Linked DNA regions of Caenorhabditis elegans. The protein of the gene in region 1 purifies or fractionates together with the protein of each later gene. This does not show direct contact. Each region holds a gene or a part of one and is shown in the gene's direction. Other genes may lie near its edges.

Region 1 (9,806 bases):
CAATCATTGTGCACATAACCGTACAATCGATATAGACATTCTGGATAGTTTTTACTCGAAACTGCTCACGAACTTTACAAAACATGGAAAACCGTCTCCAGGTAATATACAGTGTTTATTTTCAATATTCTAATTTTCAGGGTGGGACCCTGTGGATCCTGGAAGAATGAATTATTTGGAGCTGAAAGTTGATTCTAAAGCAAGGAGCGGCCCAGTTATGCTTGAAGGTTATCATGCCAAAGATGTGTCCTTTTGGGTTGGAGAAATGACAGAGTTTGATCAAAACGTGTCAAAAATGGTATGAAATAGTCACGTTAAAAATTTTCTTGAAGCAAGAGCTAAATTATTTACTCAAAGCCTATGTATAGAATGTTGCATACTGATTATCTAACAACCAATTTACAAGTGTACCTGTAGAATTTTTCGTTTTAGCGACATTCCGAAGGACTGCCACCAGAAAGACAAGATACAAAATCACAACGACAATATTGGAACTTTATTGTATACCAGAATTTTGATGCGAAAAATCAACAGAAACTAGTCGATAGCACTCACTTCATAATAAACACTACAGATCAAGCCATTATATTTAGAACTGACATTTCGATTCTTTATCAGTGGTGGTTTTATTTAATAATAGCAGTTTGTGCAATGACTATTGGCTTAGTCATATTATCTTTCAAAAAATCAAGAAATGGCGAGATCACTCCTTTATTAAGTTAAAAACAACTGTCAATATGTAAATAAAGCTATATACGTGCCGTGTTATAAGTTCACAGCTGAAATTGTAAATTTGAAAAATTTTTAATTACATGAAAATCAATCAGAATCGGCGTATCTCAAACACTTATAACTCTAATATCGTCAATTACTAGACAAAATGTTAATGTTTTTGAGTTAGTAAAGATAACCCGCGTGTTTTCTGTCTACCACTATACGTTTTATCAGTCAGTATTGTGCTTTCAAGACCACTGCCTTTCAATCAGTTTTTCAAACATCAATGAAAACATTATTATATTTGTTGTAAACGAAAATGTCTTTAAAAAAGTTTATACTGTTCAAACTAATTTTGTTGTTTCCTGATATACAAAGTTTGAAAGTAATAGAAACAAGTTATGGAAGAGTACGTGGAATAACGGAATGGTCAGATGACAATAATCACAAGTATATGTTTAAAGTGAGTTAGATTGAAGAACATTTGGAAGAAAACTGCTTTGTTTTTCAGAGTGTACCGTTTGCCAAGCCGCCAATAGGAAAGTTGCGATTTGCACCTCCACAGTATCCGGATTCATGGAGCGGTGTTCTCGATGCATCAAAGTATAGGTAATGAACATTGAGAATATTGAAAATGAGAAATATAATAGAAACCACAATGCAATAAAATTCGAACTATTTTATTCAAGCTTATGAAACTATTTAAGAAAACATATCATAAGGGTTCATACAATGTTTTGAATCATTCAAAAACTCAATCTAGAAAGATATATCACTTGCCACAAATTTATAACTGTCATCCTCAATAAAAAAAACTGTTTCGGCCGTTTAATGATGTTGGGACCAATGACCCAGAAACAAAAAAAAACAGAAACTCTCACATGTATTTCGCTCCAAACAAAGGTGAATTTAAAATTTATTGTTTTCCAGTCCTGCGTGCTTGAGCAACTCATCGACAACTAGCACTCCACAAGAACACGTCAGCGAAGATTGTCTGTACATAAATATTTTCACTAGCGAAAAATGTTTGGTATTTTTCAACTGAAACTTTAAAATTGATGTTATTGTATTCCAATTCAGAGGTCTAAATGTGCTGTTATAGTCTATTTTCATGGTGGCGCATACAATGGAGACTCTGCTACAATGTTTCCGGACAATTTCATATTGGAGAGATACGTTGCGGAAGACGTAATTTTAGCAATTCCTGGAGTTCGATTAGGAGTGTTTGGACAGTTATATTTTGGTCCAAGTGCTCTTCTAACTGAGAATCTTTTCATGTTTGGTGAGAAAACAACACAATTTTGTTTTTATTCTAAATCATGATGGAAAATTGTTTTTTTTTAAATATTAATAGAAAGATTTAATAAAATGCGAAAATATAAGAAGCAATAATTTAAAGTTTACAGACGCGGTTCAAGCGCTTGACTTTGTTCACAACGAAATACCAAACTTTGGTGGTGACCCAAAACAAGTGACCATCATGGGACACTCTTCAGGCGGAACACTTGTAGAAGCCTTGGGATTTTCAAAGTACCAAATTTTGAGTTGCTTGGCTGCAGAAAACATTTTATTTTTCAGTTCTGTTGACCCAGACTTGAAGTTGTTCCAGCAAATTATCGTTTTAAGTGGCACAGGGATGTTTGGATTTTACGACTTGCTGGTTGACAACTCGTTTATTATTTCTGAAAAATTAGGGGTGAACAAACTGAAATATGTTTTGTTGAATAAATCGAACTTCGTTTCAGTGTTTCAACGGCACACAGGAAGAGCGCACCGACGCAAATATTGCTGAAATTCTTGAATGCATGAGACAAATTGATGGCCATGAAATAGTAGGAATGCAAAAACATATGGAAGATGTTTACAAGTTGACTTTTAAGAGTCTTTTGAGAGGAGCACCATTCATGGAATTGAATGGGAAAATTGAAAAGTTCAGAAATTCAACATCGGTAAGCTTGAAAATCAGAATAAGCAAGTAATAAAATTAGGAAGATAATTATAAACATTTTCAAGGTCATAAAAATTTGTTTCCAGCCAAGAAATGCAATCTTTGGAACGACAGAATATGAGTTTCGCAACGAAGTGGAGAGATATCTCTATATCACAACAACATTTTTAGATTTTGAAAATCCAGTAGCAGTTGCTCAACATTTTGACGATGAGCTGATGCAGAACAGTAAGCCCAGATTTAGAATGTGTTCACGTAATTTTTGAAAAAGTTCAGTGGATACCATGATCAATGGAGATGCCGTATCAATATTCGTATCAGCTGCAGCTTTTTCTTCAGCAATGGCTAATGCGGGTGCAGACGTTTACCTTTTCGAGACCCGACAATGGCCCTACAGTTTTCACGTTTCTGATATGCAATACTTTATTGGCATTCATAGAGAAGTTTTGCACACTCATGATATGGATATTTTGGATAGTTTCTATTCGAAGCTGCTGGTCAATTTCACTAAAACAGGAGCGCCATCTCCTGGTAATTTTCTTGTAGGTGTACATTTTTCAATTACATAAAATTATTATAGAATGGAACTCCCTGGAACCAGAAAAGATGAACTATTTGGAATTGAGAGTTGATACCAGAAATGGCAAAGGTCCAGTAATGCTTGAAGGCTATCACGATAAAGAAGTTTCTTTCTGGTACGGAGATATGATGGACTATGACAGGAACATCACGAAAATGGTAAAATTCAATAAAAATCATGTTTCGTTCATTAATGACAAACTCAAGTAAAGTAACTATGAATATAATTCGAAATTTAGAAAAATTAATTTAAGTTCCATGACTTGCACTTACATAAATACTAAAAGAAAAACAATTTAGAAATCATCAAGCTTTGTTTATAAACTGTTCTTAAAAATTTTTTAATTAAAACTTTTCGAGCTAAAAAAAGTAGTGAACTGGTTATTAAATTTTTTCATTACTTAGATTTTGTAACAATTATTTTTCAGAGACAATCTAAAGGGTTACCACGTGAAAACCAAGGTGTAGAATCACAGTTGAAATACTGGAGCTCCATAGTTGAACCAAGAACTACTGCACACGCAAACAATGCGACTCAAGAAAACATTTCTACAAGCACCAATGTCCTATTCACCTCCACAGCTCAATACATATCGCGAGAATTCAAAAATAGTACACCAATTCTTCAACAATGGTGGTTCTACTTGATTATAGCTTTAGTTGTTATGATTTTTGTATTGATTTTTATTTCCCTTCGGAAACCAAGACGAGAAGAAGAAGTTCCTTTATTGAGTTAGAAAATTAAAGTTAATTTCTTGAACGTACGGTGAATATAACTATTTTTTATTATTTATTTATTTTTGAATATTGTTTCACAACAGAGTGAAACTTTTCAACGTTTTGATTGTAATAAAAAATTTTATAAAATTCAATACTCGTTTGGCTATAATCAATACTTCTTGTTTTATATTCAAATGGTCACAATTACAGCACTATCAATTTCTGCAAGACAAAAGGCATTTTATCAGAAGTGCAAACCCCAATAAGTTTATCATTTAGTTGTTGACATTTTTGTCGAGGACAATGTTTATACATTTGTTTTTATTGATTTTGTTTATTCCTCAATTTCAAAGTTTGAAAGTTATCCAAACTAGTTATGGAAAATTACGTGGAATTACTGTATGGTCCAATGACAAAAATCATCGATATATGTTTAAAGTGAGTTGGGTGATTCAAAGTGTATCCTACAAATGGAGAATATTTTAGAGTGTTCCATTCGCAAAGCCGCCAGTAGGTAATTTGAGGTTTGCGAAGCCTCAGAATCCGGAATCGTGGAGCGGTATTCTGGATGCATCGAAATATAGGTAGTCATAGTTTTTCAGAGTTCGAGAAATTAAAAAAATAAAGGTCATCTGAAGCAATTGATCTGTATAACATCGGAAACTACAAAATTCTCTAGGGGGTAAAGCTTTAAAATTGAGCACGCAGTTTTTACCCAAAACAATATGGCTTCTTATTTTTGAGTTGAAACAATTATTTGTGGTTTTTCAGTCCAGCATGCATGAGCAATTCTTCTTCAACCAGCACACCGCAAAAACACTACAGCGAAGATTGCCTCTACATAAATATTTTCACCAGTGAAAAATGTTTGGTAAACCTCCATTGAATCCGAATAGTTTTATCGATATTCTAATTTCAGAATTCCAAGTGTCCTGTAATCGTGTACTTTCATGGTGGTGCATACAATTTAGACTCAGCAATAATGTTCAATGATACATTTATTTTGGATAGATATGCTGCGGAAGACGTGGTTTTCGTAATTCCAGCCGTTCGGTTAGGAGTGTTTGGACAGTTGTATTTTGGTCCGAGTGACCTTCTTTCTGAGAATTTATTCCTGTATGGTAAGCATAAAGACTATTTAAACTGAAGAATTTAAATTTTAAACGAAAAACCGTTACCACGTCATGCTTAAAACTTATACATATGTAGGGCTGTGCAACCGGACGTCCGGCCGTCCGAACCGGACGATCATCGTCCGGTTTTAGAAAAAAAAACCCGTTTTTAGAACTTTGAAATTTTTCCGAGAAGTATGTTTTCACAATTTCCGAGATTGGCCACTCGCTATACTTCATCATAGAATTTTATAATGAGTGGCCAAACTCGGAAATTGTCGGCCGCCGTGAAAACATACCTCTCGGAAAATTTTCAAAGTTCTAAAAACTGGTTTTTTTTTCTAAAACCGGACGATGATCGTCCGGTTCTGACGACCGGACGTCCGGTTGCACAGCCCTATACACATATGTTTGAAAAACGCCTGGAATCTTGAAAAAGAAAAGCGGGCATCAGATCAACCAGTTGTAGAATAATTTTTCTGAGTTAAAAACATTATTTAAAAAAACAACGACAACACATTTAATTTTTACATATTCAGACGCTGTTCAAGCATTAAGTTTTGTTCACAGTGAGATAAACTATTTTGGCGGCGATTCGAAACGTGTAACTGCAATGGGACACTCATCTGGCGGCACTATTGTGGATGCATTGGGATTTTCAAAGTTTAACGCTTTTTCGAAATATCACGTTGTTATAATGAATTATTTTTACAGACTCATCGATCCAGGTGTCAAACTATTTCAACAGATGATAGTGTTGAGTGCTACAGGAATGTTTGGATTTTATGACATGGTGGTTGATAATTCGTTCGCCATTGTTGAGAAGTTTGGGGTGATTAACGTTGATCCATAATTCCATCTAATTCATTCGTATTTCAGTGTTACAATGGAACAAAGGACGACCGCCCAAATGCAAATATTGCAGAAATGCTGGATTGCATGAGACAAATTGATGGACGCGAAATGTTACTTATGCAGCGGCATATGGAAGAAGTGGATGATCGAGATTTTAGAAGCGTTCTGAGAGGTGCCCCATTTTTGGAGTCGAATGGGAAAATTGCAGACCTCAAAAAATCCCCGCCGGTAAATCTAAAAATATGCAAAAATTTTTGTCAAAAAAGAAAACCGATTAATCTTTTGTTAACTTAATTTACCTTAATTTGGTCTTAGTACCGTTTACGATTCTATTTTAAATCACTACAATATGCAACCTTGAGTTGGTCTCTGGGATTTATTTTTTTTACTTTCTTTCCAATTGGTTAAATTTCAGTCACGAAACCTACTATATGGAACGACAGAGCATGAATTTCGCAATGTTGACCACATGAATCCCTACATTTCTGGAATCTTTTTAGATTTTGACAACCCAGTTGCAGTTGCGAGATACTACGACGAACAGCTCATGGCAAATTGTAAGTAAAATCTTCACACGTGAAACTTTTATACTAAACGTATTTAGTGGAAACTATGATAAATGGAGATGCAGCTGCAATTTTCATATGTGCTTCAACATTTTCGACTGCAATGGCAAATACTGGAGCTGATGTGTATCTTTTTGAAACCCGACAAAAACCGTATAGTTTCCATGTATCTGATATGCAATATTTTGTTGGGATTCATCGAGAAATTTATCATAGACCTGACATGGATATTTTGGATACTTTTTATTCTAAACTGCTCGTGAATTTTACAAAAATGGGAGTGCCATCTCCAGGTGACTACAAAATTATTTATAGATGTCTTTGTTTAAATAAAACCCAAATTTGCAGAATGGGCACCACTTGACCCCGAAAGAATGAACTATCTAGAGCTAAAGGTAGATTCTGACATGAAAGAAGGACCAGTTATGCTTGAAGGTTTTCACGAAAAAGAAATGGAACTGTGGTTTGGAGAAATGATGGAATTTGACAGAAATGTTACAAAAATAGTGAGAATTTTAATTTTTTTTGAAGTCAAATTTGCGTTGAAAACTTCTAAAAGTGCTAAAAATCAGATGTGTAAATTTCTCGATATCGGAAAACTTGGCAAATATGTATATTTTTTTTCATATTTTTCGGCACGTCAAATCGCAAATTTTTTGAAATTCGTTTTAACACAGGAAATTGCAAAGTGTATACGGCTAAGTTTTGTTTAATGTGCATGTAGAATTCTTGATTTAAAAAATATGAAACGAACACTGTTATTGTATTTGACTTTTTGTATTTGACTTTTTGAAAAAAATATATTATTTTTGTTTCACTTGTTTCGAAATTGTAGCATGTGTGACCAATTTCATACCTTTCCGAGGTCGGCAAATTCGGTACGTCCATGTTTTTGGAATTTGCGTGCTGGAATAAATCGGCAAGTTTTCAGCTAATTCTGCATATTATTTGAAAATATGTTCAGCCGTGATAATCTCGCGATGTGTGAAAAGCTTATGTTATTTTAAAACAAGCAGTTCAAAAATAATGATTGGCCATTTCAAAGCCTTTAAAATAAATTTGGTTTCAGAGACAATCACAAGGTTTGCCTCCGGAACATCTTGACATAGAGACGCAACTTAAGTACTGGGAAACGACTAATAAACCTGAAATCCTTACAAAAACTACTAAGGGATTTACATCAATCCATCAGGATAACAATAGTAACACCGTAACTACTACAGCTTCAGCACAATCTTCATTACTAAAAAATGGCTCTTCAATTTTGAAACAATGGTGGTTTTATTTAATTATATTTTTGATGATATTATTAGTTGTGTTGATTGTTATTTGTCTCCGAAAACCAAAGAGAGAAGAGGAACTTCCTTTATTGAGTTAGATAACGGTTTGAACATTGAAATAAAGTTTTTGTGTCTAGACGAATAGAGTCAATCGATTAAAACACAGCTTTTACCAAACCCAGACAAATCAGACAAATAAAACTTATCAATGCGCACATTTTTATCAACTCATCTTCAACTTGTCAGTGCTATTCAGTTTAAAAAAATGAAAATATTTTTCTATACACTTGCTCTGTTGGCATTGAGTGTGAAAAGCTTTAAAGTTTTGAACACAAATTATGGAAAAGTTCGAGGAATCACTGATTTTAGTGATAAGAGGAATCATAAATATATATTCAAGGTAAGTTTCAAGATGCATATGATATTCGAAAATGAGCTTGAACAGAATTTTAAAAAAACATTGATTCTAAAATGTTTTCAGGGCATTCCATTTGCTAAACCTCCTTTAGGATTATTAAGATTTGCCCTTCCTGAAGAGCCAAACACATGGAATGGTGTTTTGGATGGTTCGAAATACAGGTGTTTTTAAAATTCGAAGAATTTATTTAACTTTCATTTATCTGAACTAAATTTCAGCGCCGCATGTTTGAGTAACTCGAGTCTAGCTTCTGCGCAACAAGAAAACATCAGCGAAGACTGTCTATACATCAATATTTTTACAAGCGAGTACTGCCTGGTGATAAGAACTGCTTCAAATGACAGCCAGTTCAACGTCGGGGTTTTTACAGGCTCACAAATGTCCAGTATTAGTTTATTATCATGGAGGATCATTCAATTTAGACTCGGCAACAATGTTTCCCGATAAATTCATATTGGAAAGATACGTAGATAGCGGAATTGTTTTTGCGATACCCGCTTATCGCTTGGGAGTTTTTGGGCAATTTTATTTGGGTGAACAGGGAATAGTACCAGCAAATTTATTAATACACGGTAATAATATACAGGAAGTCGTGATGTCTAAAAAAGATTTTTTAAGATTGCATCAGATCGTTAAACTTTGTACACGACAATATTGCTAGTTTTGGAGGTGACCCCAATTACGTCACTCTTATGGGCCATTCATCAGGAGGACAGCTGGTGAATGCAATGGGGTTCTCAAATCAAATAGACCCAGAAAAAAAGTTATTTCAACAGTTTATAGTGCTGAGCTCAATTGGAATGTATGGATTTGAAGATCTCCAAATCGGAAATTCATATGAAATTGCACGAAGGCATAATGTATGTTGGTTCTTATAAGATAAAACTATATTTCTTTGAAACCTGGTTATAGTTCACTACATTAGTGAATTGAAACCAAAGGTCTCTCTCTCTCTCTCAAATAACCTAAAAATATAGTTGGAGTTATTTTTTGAACCAATACTACACAAAACGTTTGAGAAGTAGTGACTAAAAACTTTAAGAAAATACAGCCGGAGGCAACAATGCACCAGTCGGTACCCCAAACAAAAATTGTACTGGTGGAAATTATCTGATAATGAGTGGTCGTGCCGGCAGACTTTTTTTTCGTGAAGGCATTGTATAATTCGCTGATATAAACCATATCAAATTATTCAGTTTTTTTGTCAGCACCGAGAGTTTGTGAAACGGAATAATGAACTTTCAAATGTCACTTCAAACTTTTAAAATTGAAATTCGGACAAACTTATAATCTCCTTGATACGTTTGGTGTAATTCTTCATTTCAGTGCACATCTGAAAACAGCCAAGAAATTGTTGACTGCATGCGAAATATTGATGCTTTACAACTATTACAAACTCAAACGGTAATGGACGACGTTGATCTATTATTTTTCAAAGCAATTATTAGAGCTCCACCGTTAATGGATGTAAAACAAAAGCTATCCGAGTTTAAAGAGAATGTAACGGTAAGTCTCATTACCAGCGATATACCGTATTTCTTATGAACTTAAAATTGTATTGTTTTGTTATTATTTGCTAGCCATTACTAAAGACTATAGATATAAATGTTTTGG
Region 2 (8,071 bases), on another chromosome or scaffold:
TAGTCGACAGCAAAAAAAAAGTACGAAAATCAAAAATTCTGCGTCGCCGCCTCCGGGAAAAATGCGCGGTTTGTAGGGCAAGAAGGGGCGGAGCCTATCATTTATTCATCGTTTGACGCACATTTTATATACCCGCCGCTGAGCTTTTTTACCCGGGGATATAGTTTGGAAAATTAGAAATTTAGAGGGGGAAAAATGGGAAATTGTGGAAATTGTTTTTCTCAATTTTGAGATTTTTGAATTTTAAATAAAAAAATTGAATTCAGCTCACCGAGAGCTTCAAATTAAGTACCATCATGCCTGGGTTCTGTGAATTTTTCGAAAATTGGGGTCTCACAACGAAAACTCCAGGGGTACTGTACCTACAATATAAAATTAAGTTTTCACATTTTTTATGATTTTTTATGATGCACTGAAATTTTTCTAAATTTTATGACTAAATTGAGATCCAAGCCGCTAAAACTGACAGAGTTATTGAATTTCGAAAAATTGCGAATAATTTTTTTTTCAAAACTACAGTATTTTTCTTTCTTTCTGTGCATATCGTGGCGAGACCCACAAATCTATCTTGTTTGAATTCAGCTCACCGAGAGCTTCAATTTGAGTACCATCATGCCTAGGTTCTATAGATTTTTGAAATTTTTGGGTCTCGCCACGAAATCAATCCGGTTACTGTACCTGCAGAAGCTGACCTAGATTTGACATTTTTACAGTGTTAAAACACAGATTCTGTATGACTTCCTACAAAATTTGTTTGGAAATCTCTAAAACTCACAAAGTTATCGATTTTCGAAAATTTTCGAATTATTTTTATCTCAAAAAATTTCAAAGCTACAGTAATTCTGTGAATTTTGTGGCGAAACCCACAAAACTATGTTTTCTGAATTCAGCTCGCCGAGTCAGCTCGCTAAGTACCATCATGCCTGGGTTCCGTGAATTTTTCGAAAATCGGGGTCTCACCACGAAAAACCCCGGGGTACTGTACCTACAGTAGCCAACTGGAGTATAACATTTTTAAGATACAGAAATATAATTTTCCTACATTGTAAAACAAAATTTGTTTGGAAATCTCTAAAATTGGCAAAGTTATCGATTTTCGAAAATTTTCGAATTAATTTTTTTTAAATTGAAACTACAGTGGCATAGCGAATTCCGTTGCGAGACCCACAAAAATATGTTGTATGAAATCAGCTCACTGAGAGCTTCAATTTAAGTACCATCATGCCTGGGTTCCGTGAATTTTTCGAAAATCGGGGTCTCGCCACGAAAAACCCCAGGAGTACTGTACCTACAGTAGCCAGCTGGAGCATAACATTTTTAAGATACAGAAATATAATTTTCCTACATTGTAAAACAAAATTCATTCAAAAATCTTAAAAACTGACGGAGTTATAGATTTTCGAAAATTTTCGAATTTCTCAAAAATTCAAAGCTACAGTAATTTTGTGAATTTCGTGGCGAGACCCTCAAAACTTAGATAAATGAATTCAGCTCATCGAGAGCTTTAATTTAAGTACCACCATGCCTAGGTTACGTCGAATTTTAATTTTCTGGGTCTCGCCACGCGGGGTACTGTAGCTCTAGTTTCAGCTGTGTCGAAGCTAGAAAATTCAAAATCGCCTGATTATAGTCATGATGGGTGTCATTTGAAAGCTCTCGGCGAGACGAATCCAGCTAAAATATTTTCAAATCAAAAAAAATCAAAAATCTAGTTTTCAGATTTGCGAGGAGCTCTCGGTGGTGCTCTTTGTGCATCCTTGGGATATGCACATGTGGGACGGGCGGCTGGACAAATACTGGATGCCATGGCTCGTCGGAATGCCATCTGAAACTGCTCAAGCCATTTGCTCAGTGCTCATGGGCAACATTTTGGTGCTCTTCCCCAAGTTGAAGCTCTGCTTTGCACATGGGGGCGGCGCCTACCCACAGATTCGTGGCCGAGTTTCTCACGGATGGAATGTTAGGCCAGACTTGTGTGCTGGAAAGTGTAAAGTTGCTCCGAATAAGCTCGATGGGCTACTGTGGACGGATAGCTTGGTTCATGACCCAAAAGCTCTCGAACTGCTGATAAATACCGTTGGAAAGGTGTGCAATTTTGATTTTAGAGAGTTCTAGATAGAAAATTCGAATTCCCCGCGTCGTCAGCTTTCAAATGACGCCCATCATGACTATGCTACGTTCATTTTGAATTTTCCTGTTTCGACACAGCTGAAACTGGTGCTACAGTACCCCGCGTGGCGACACCCAAAATTCACAAAATTTCGAAAACCTAGGCAAGATGGGTGTCAAATGAAAGGTGTTAATGTGCTGAATTCAAAAATTCAAATTTTTTGGGTCCTGCCACGAATTTGCAGAAGCTGAGGCAAGTTTTCGTGGCGAGACCCAAGAAATATTGCGAAATCTGTCAAACTTGACGAAAACTAGTTGATATGGGGCTTATTTTGAAGCTCTTGACTTGCTCAATTCAAATTTTAACTTGAAATCAAGAAATTTGTGGTCTCGAAGCGACAATTTTCGAAAAAAACTTGACATTCGCGAGAAATCCGTCAATTTTCATCATTTTTTCTCAATTTTTCAGGAGCATATAGTGCTTGGCACCGACTACCCATTTCCGCTTGGCGAGCTTGAAGTTGGAAGAGTTGTGGAAGAGTATAAGCCATTTTCTGCCAAGGACAGGGAGGATTTGCTGTGGAAAAACGCTGTAAAAATGCTGGATATCGATGAAAACTTGCTTTTTAATAAGGATTTTTGATCATTTTTTGGTTTTTATTGATTTTTATTGGGACATGTTGGGTTTTTATTGGTTTTTAATAAAGAATTTAGACTTTTTGTTCGAAAAACGATGTTTTCACATTCAAATACCCGCCGAAAACGAGAAATGCGCAAGAGTGGGGTTGCTGGCGCAATACTCGATTTTGCTGACGCGTTTCTCGTCTTTTTGAAAATACATTTTATTTCATCGATTTTCGCCGGATTTTCGCCGGTTTTTCTTGATTTTTCTTGATTTTTTGCCATTTTTCAGTCAAATTTCATCGTTTTTCTCGATTTTCTTGCCAATTTCCAGCATTTTCAGTGAAAAAATAGCGGAAAAATGGAGGAAGAGCTCGCCTCTTACAAACTTCAGCTCCAGCAGGTCGAGGCGGCTTTGCTCGGCGATCCGACGAATGTGGAGCTTCTCAAGTTGAAGGAAGACCTCGGGGAGATTATTTCGCTGCAGGTAGTGTGAAAAAAAGCGGAGAAAATGCAAAATTTTCGAAAAAAAATCAATAAAAACTGATTTTTTTCCAATTTTCAGGAAGATTTGGCGGAAACCGACAAGGCAGAATCATCAGAGAGGGCTGTGGTGGCTCCGCAAGTGATTCACAAGTGGACGGTACGGATTTTCAGCGAAAAAACCCCGATTTTCGCCAATTTTTCAGCTAAAAATCGATTTTTCAGGTCGGCGAACGAGTTATCGCCCCACATCCCGACGGAAAAAAGGTTTTCGCCAGAATCGACTCACTTACGCCCGCCGGAGTGGCTATTACCTTCACATGTAGGGGGATTTTATCGATTTTTAGCCCAAAAATCGTGAATTTTCACCAAAAATTCGTATTTTTTCAGCTACCGGCACGAAAACCATCGTAGATCCCGCTGATCTCCAACTCCCGCCCGAAAATCAGCGAAAAAATTATGCATTTGATAACACAAAGTCGGCGGCCGGACCATCGACTCAACACGGCAAAAAGGTTGGAAAAAATGGAAAAAATTCCTTGTTCTTCTGTAAAAAACCAGAAAAACCCCGTTTTTGCAATATTTTTGAGCTAAAAATCGCAAAAATCACCAAAAATTGACACTTTTTCAGCTTTTATCGACTATTTTCTGCAGGAATTTCTAGAAATTGACGTTTTTCCGGATAAAACGGCTTTTTTCGTGAAATTTTCATCGATTTTTTGGACTTTCCGGGGTACTGTAGCTCCAAAAGTACGCAAACACCACAAGTCTTACGGCAAAATGCAGAAATCTTGATTTTTCACATTTAAAGTGATTTTTCTCAAATTTTCAGTTGGAAATCGAGTTTCTCACTCATTTTTACCCCTGGAAATCGGTTTTTTGCACAAAATAGATTGGTGGCCTAACTTTTGGGATTTCTAGGCCACCAATCTGAAAATGATGGTTTTAAGCCATTTTCATCGATTTTTTTTGGATTTTTATGTCAAATATAGACGATAAAAACGATTTTAAACTGAAAATCGCAAAATTTCTAGTTTAAATCTCTAGAAAATCCCAAAAATCGATATTTCCGTGACTCATGTGCTTCTACTCGGATTGATGGCATAAAAACTGTTTTTATTTACATTTTCAGTCTTAAATTGGCTGAAAATGTAGGTAAATACCGTATTTCTGCCAACAATTTGACAATAAAGCACATTTGTCACTCGGAGATGCGGAAGCTATGCCCAAATTTTTAATTTTACCGAAAAACTCGTAATTTTCACAGATATTCAGCCCAAATATCGACTTTTCCATCACTTTTTACCCCCGTAGCCCGTTTTTCAGCCAATTTATGCAAATTTTCGTAAAATTCGGTGCCTAGGCGGTGTTTGCGTACTTTGGCGCTACCGTAACCCTCGAAATTCAAATTTTGAGCTATAGGCCCTGACAAAGGTCCATTTGGGGTAAAATTAAGCGGAGAATTTGAATTTTAGCATGAAAATTGCTGGAAATTGCTGAAAAATTCAAAAAAAAAATCAAATTTTTTCAAATTTCCAGGAATGGCAAGCAGAAAAGGAGCGCCGACGTCAAAAAGCGCTCAAAAAACAGCAAAAACAGAAGGAGCTCGACTCGATAAAGGATGGCGAGAAGAAAAGTTGGCAAAAATTCAACACAAAAGCCAACGCGAAAGGTCTGAAGGGCCTGAAGAAGGTTTCGGCGACAGGATCAAGCCAGGATGGCTCGGCGAGCAGCAGCGGCGGCGGCGGAGAGAAGCGAGGAACGATCGTCTCGTCGAGAAGCTCTCAGTTCATTTTTAAAGCCACCCGTGGAGCTATGGATTCACTTTTTTGAGCTCTCTTGTATATCCGATTTTACTGTACTTTTTTTGTGTTCTTGATATAATAAAAACTCGATTTTTTCCCGGAAATTGTGAAAAAATGCCAAAAAACACTTTTTTTCGGACATGGTGGATCGTTTCAGGTGTCGGGGGATATGGTCGGGTACTGTAGGAGTACGGTAGGATTACTGTAGTTTGGGAAAAGTTGGCTTTTTTGTCTTTTGAACGGACATTGGTTTAGGGTTAGTGGGGGGATATGGTCGGCGTACTGTAGGGGTACTGTAGTAGTACTGTAGGAGTACTGTAGGGGTACTGTAGTAGTGCTGTAGAGGTACTGTAGTAGTACTGTAGTTAGGGATAACTTGACTTTTTGTCATTTGAGGGGATATGGTCGGGGTACTGTAGGGGTACTGTAGGATTACTGTAGTTTGGGAAAATTGACTTTTCGTCTTTTGAAGGGATATTGGTTTGAGGTTAGTGGGGGGATATGGCCGGGGTACTGTAGGGGTACTGTAGGAATACTGTAGTTTTGGAAAAAAGTGTTTTCGTCTTTCGAGGGGATATGGTCGGGGTACTGTAGTAGTACTGTAGTGGTACTGTAGTTTGGGAAAAATTGACTTTTCAAGGGATATTGGTTTGGGGTTAGTGGGGGGATAAGGTCGGGGTAATGTAGGATTACTGTAGTTTTTGAAAAAACTGACTTTTTGTCATTTGAGGGATATTGGTTTGGGGTTAGTCGAGGGATATGGTCGGGGTACTGTAGTAGTACTGTAGGGGTACTGTAGGAGTACTGTAGGGGTACTGTAGTAGTGCTGTAGTAGTACTGTAGGGGTTCTGTAGGGGTACTGTAGTTTTGGAAAAGGTAGGATAACTGTGGTTTGAGAAAAATTGACTTTTTCGACTTTTGAACGGATATTGGTTCAGGGTTAGTGGGGGGGATATGGTCGGGGTGCTGTAGGAGTACTGTAGGATTACTGTAGTTTAGGTGCATTGAAGAAAGGTCTCGAAAGGTTTTTTTTTTCAAATTTCCGAAAATTTTGGAAAATTTTGAAAAAAAAAACATCAATGTTTAAGGAAAAATAATTTTTGAATTTTGAAAACTGTTAAAATTTGAGCGTAGGTGCAAATTTTGAGCTTCAATGCACCATGACCGCGCCAAAACCCGGCGGTGGCCTAGTTTTTGCAGTTCGGCCACCGCGGGGGTGGACCAAAGGAAAATTTTTTGCGAGTTAAAAATCAGAAAAAAAAATCAATAGTAGTACTGTAGGGGTACGCTAGGAGTACTGTAGGAATACGGTAAGATTACTTTAGTTTTGGAAAAATTGTCTTTTCGTCTTTTGAAGGGATATTGGTTTGGGGTTAGTGGAGGGATATGGTCGGGGTACTGTAGGGGTACGGTAGGATTACTGTAGTTTTGGAAAAATTGTCTTTTCGTCTTTTGAAGGGACATTGGTTTGGGGTTAGTGGAGGGATATGGTCGGGGTACTGTAGGGGTACGGTAGGATTACTGTAGTTTTGGAAAAATTAATCCTTGAATTTTAACACTTTTGAAAAAATTCCAAAAAATAAACATTTTAACGCGCTTTTTAGCCGTGAAATATTTAAATTCGCGCCAAAAATGCCTGTTGTGATTGACAATTTTCCAGTTTCTTTCCAGGAAAACTCGGCTTTCTGATCATGGTGCATCGATCAGACTGTCTCCAGCAGCGCCTGAAGAGGTGAAAACTAGCCGAAAAGTGAAGATGGGAGGCTAATTTCTAATCGGTGCGCGCCTTTTACTCGTGCGTTTTTCTTATTATTCTATTATTATTTCACTAGTTTTTCCATTCGCCCGCCGTGTGTACATATTAGCCGCCGCCGGCTAGCTAGCGGATACGTAATACCGTTCCACTTTTTTTCGTTTAAAATATAATATATTTGCCAAAGTTTGGAAAAGGTTTGAAAATTCGAATTTCGCGCCAAAAAAATGTATCTCAAAAATTTGAAGTTGCCGCCGAATTTGATAGATTTTTAGCTAAAAATGAAGTTTTCCGGCATATTTCCGTTCAAATTTTTCACTGGAAATTCAAATTTTGTAATAGCACATGTTTCACCATTTGTTGCACCGCCACGGTGGCCGAGCTGCAAAAACTAGGCCACCGCCGGGATTTGGCGCGGCCATGGTGCATCAAGGGTCAAAACTTGCACCTAATTTTTAATTTTAACGAAAACACAGAACCCCTACAGTACTACTACAGTACCCCGACCATATCCCCCAACTAACCCCAAACCAATATCCCTTCAAAAGTCAATTTTTCCAAAACTACAGTACTCCTACAGAACCCCTACAGTACTACTACAGCACTACTACAGTACCCCTACAGTACTCCTACAGTACCCCTACAGTACTACTACAGTACCCCGACCATATCCCCCGACTAACCCCAAACCAATATTCCTTCAAAAGTCAATTTTTCCCAAACTACAGCATTCCTACAGTACCCCTACAGTACCCCGGCCAAATCCCTCCACTAACCTCAAACCAATATCCCTTCAAAAGACGAAAAGGCAATTTTCCCAAACTATGCATCAAGATGCCACCATGTTCGCAAAACTGGCATTTTTTTTCACAAATTTGGTGTAATTTTCAGAAAATACCGAATTTTTTCTGTTGGAATTTTTTAAAAACTAATGTTTTTCGTCAAAAAAAGTGATATACCCCCTTTTTCCACAAACACAGCTTCACCCTCCCCACATCACATGAAAATTCCTCGAAAATTGGCGGGTCACAAATCCTTTCCCCCAATCATCAATTCGTGACTCGTTATGCAGTTTTTTACCCACCCGTCCCGGCGGCTACTGATCACATACACACTCACGGCGGATGAGAATTCCTTTATCAGTTCTCGATTCCCCCGATGCTTTTCACTTTTTTCCTCCTCGCCCAGGAGAAAACTGTACGGCGCCCCCGATTATCCCCGGCGCTGATAAGAAATTGAAAGTTTGAAGATTCAATCACTTGAGCGCCGGAGATTGTGTGGGAAAATGGGTAGATCAAAA

What was found.
Region 2: the proteins of cest-9.1 (region 1) and smr-1 fractionate together in Caenorhabditis elegans (co-fractionation; one large-scale study listed by BioGRID). This does not show direct contact.

Annotation. Positions count from the first base shown.
Region 1 is NC_003284.9:12,221,969-12,231,774, forward strand, and holds cest-9.1 (Carboxylesterase type B domain-containing protein), read left to right. Parts: upstream 1-4,213; 5' UTR 4,214-4,264; coding exon 4,265-4,399; intron 4,400-4,447; coding exon 4,448-4,545; intron 4,546-4,732; coding exon 4,733-4,832; intron 4,833-4,880; coding exon 4,881-5,082; intron 5,083-5,612; coding exon 5,613-5,736; intron 5,737-5,787; coding exon 5,788-5,905; intron 5,906-5,952; coding exon 5,953-6,156; intron 6,157-6,343; coding exon 6,344-6,485; intron 6,486-6,532; coding exon 6,533-6,787; intron 6,788-6,842; coding exon 6,843-7,000; intron 7,001-7,563; coding exon 7,564-7,872; 3' UTR 7,873-7,982; downstream 7,983-9,806. Other genes in the region: cest-8 (Carboxylic ester hydrolase), read left to right, coding at 1-101, 141-298, 433-723; cest-9.2 (Carboxylic ester hydrolase), read left to right, coding at 1,034-1,177, 1,226-1,323, 1,645-1,744, 1,795-1,996, 2,121-2,244, 2,293-2,410, 2,460-2,663, 2,749-2,890 and 3 more; cest-7 (Carboxylic ester hydrolase), read left to right, coding at 7,983-8,174, 8,256-8,353, 8,411-8,510, 8,563-8,764, 8,811-9,052, 9,519-9,698.
Region 2 is NC_003281.10:1,140,099-1,148,169, forward strand, and holds smr-1 (Tudor domain-containing protein), read left to right. Parts: upstream 1-3,073; 5' UTR 3,074-3,091; coding exon 3,092-3,217; intron 3,218-3,295; coding exon 3,296-3,373; intron 3,374-3,438; coding exon 3,439-3,535; intron 3,536-3,603; coding exon 3,604-3,728; intron 3,729-4,081; exon of another isoform or gene 4,082-4,170; intron 4,171-4,752; coding exon 4,753-5,046; 3' UTR 5,047-5,113; downstream 5,114-8,071. Other genes in the region: acsd-1 (2-amino-3-carboxymuconate-6-semialdehyde decarboxylase), read left to right, coding at 267-353, 1,720-2,085, 2,579-2,752.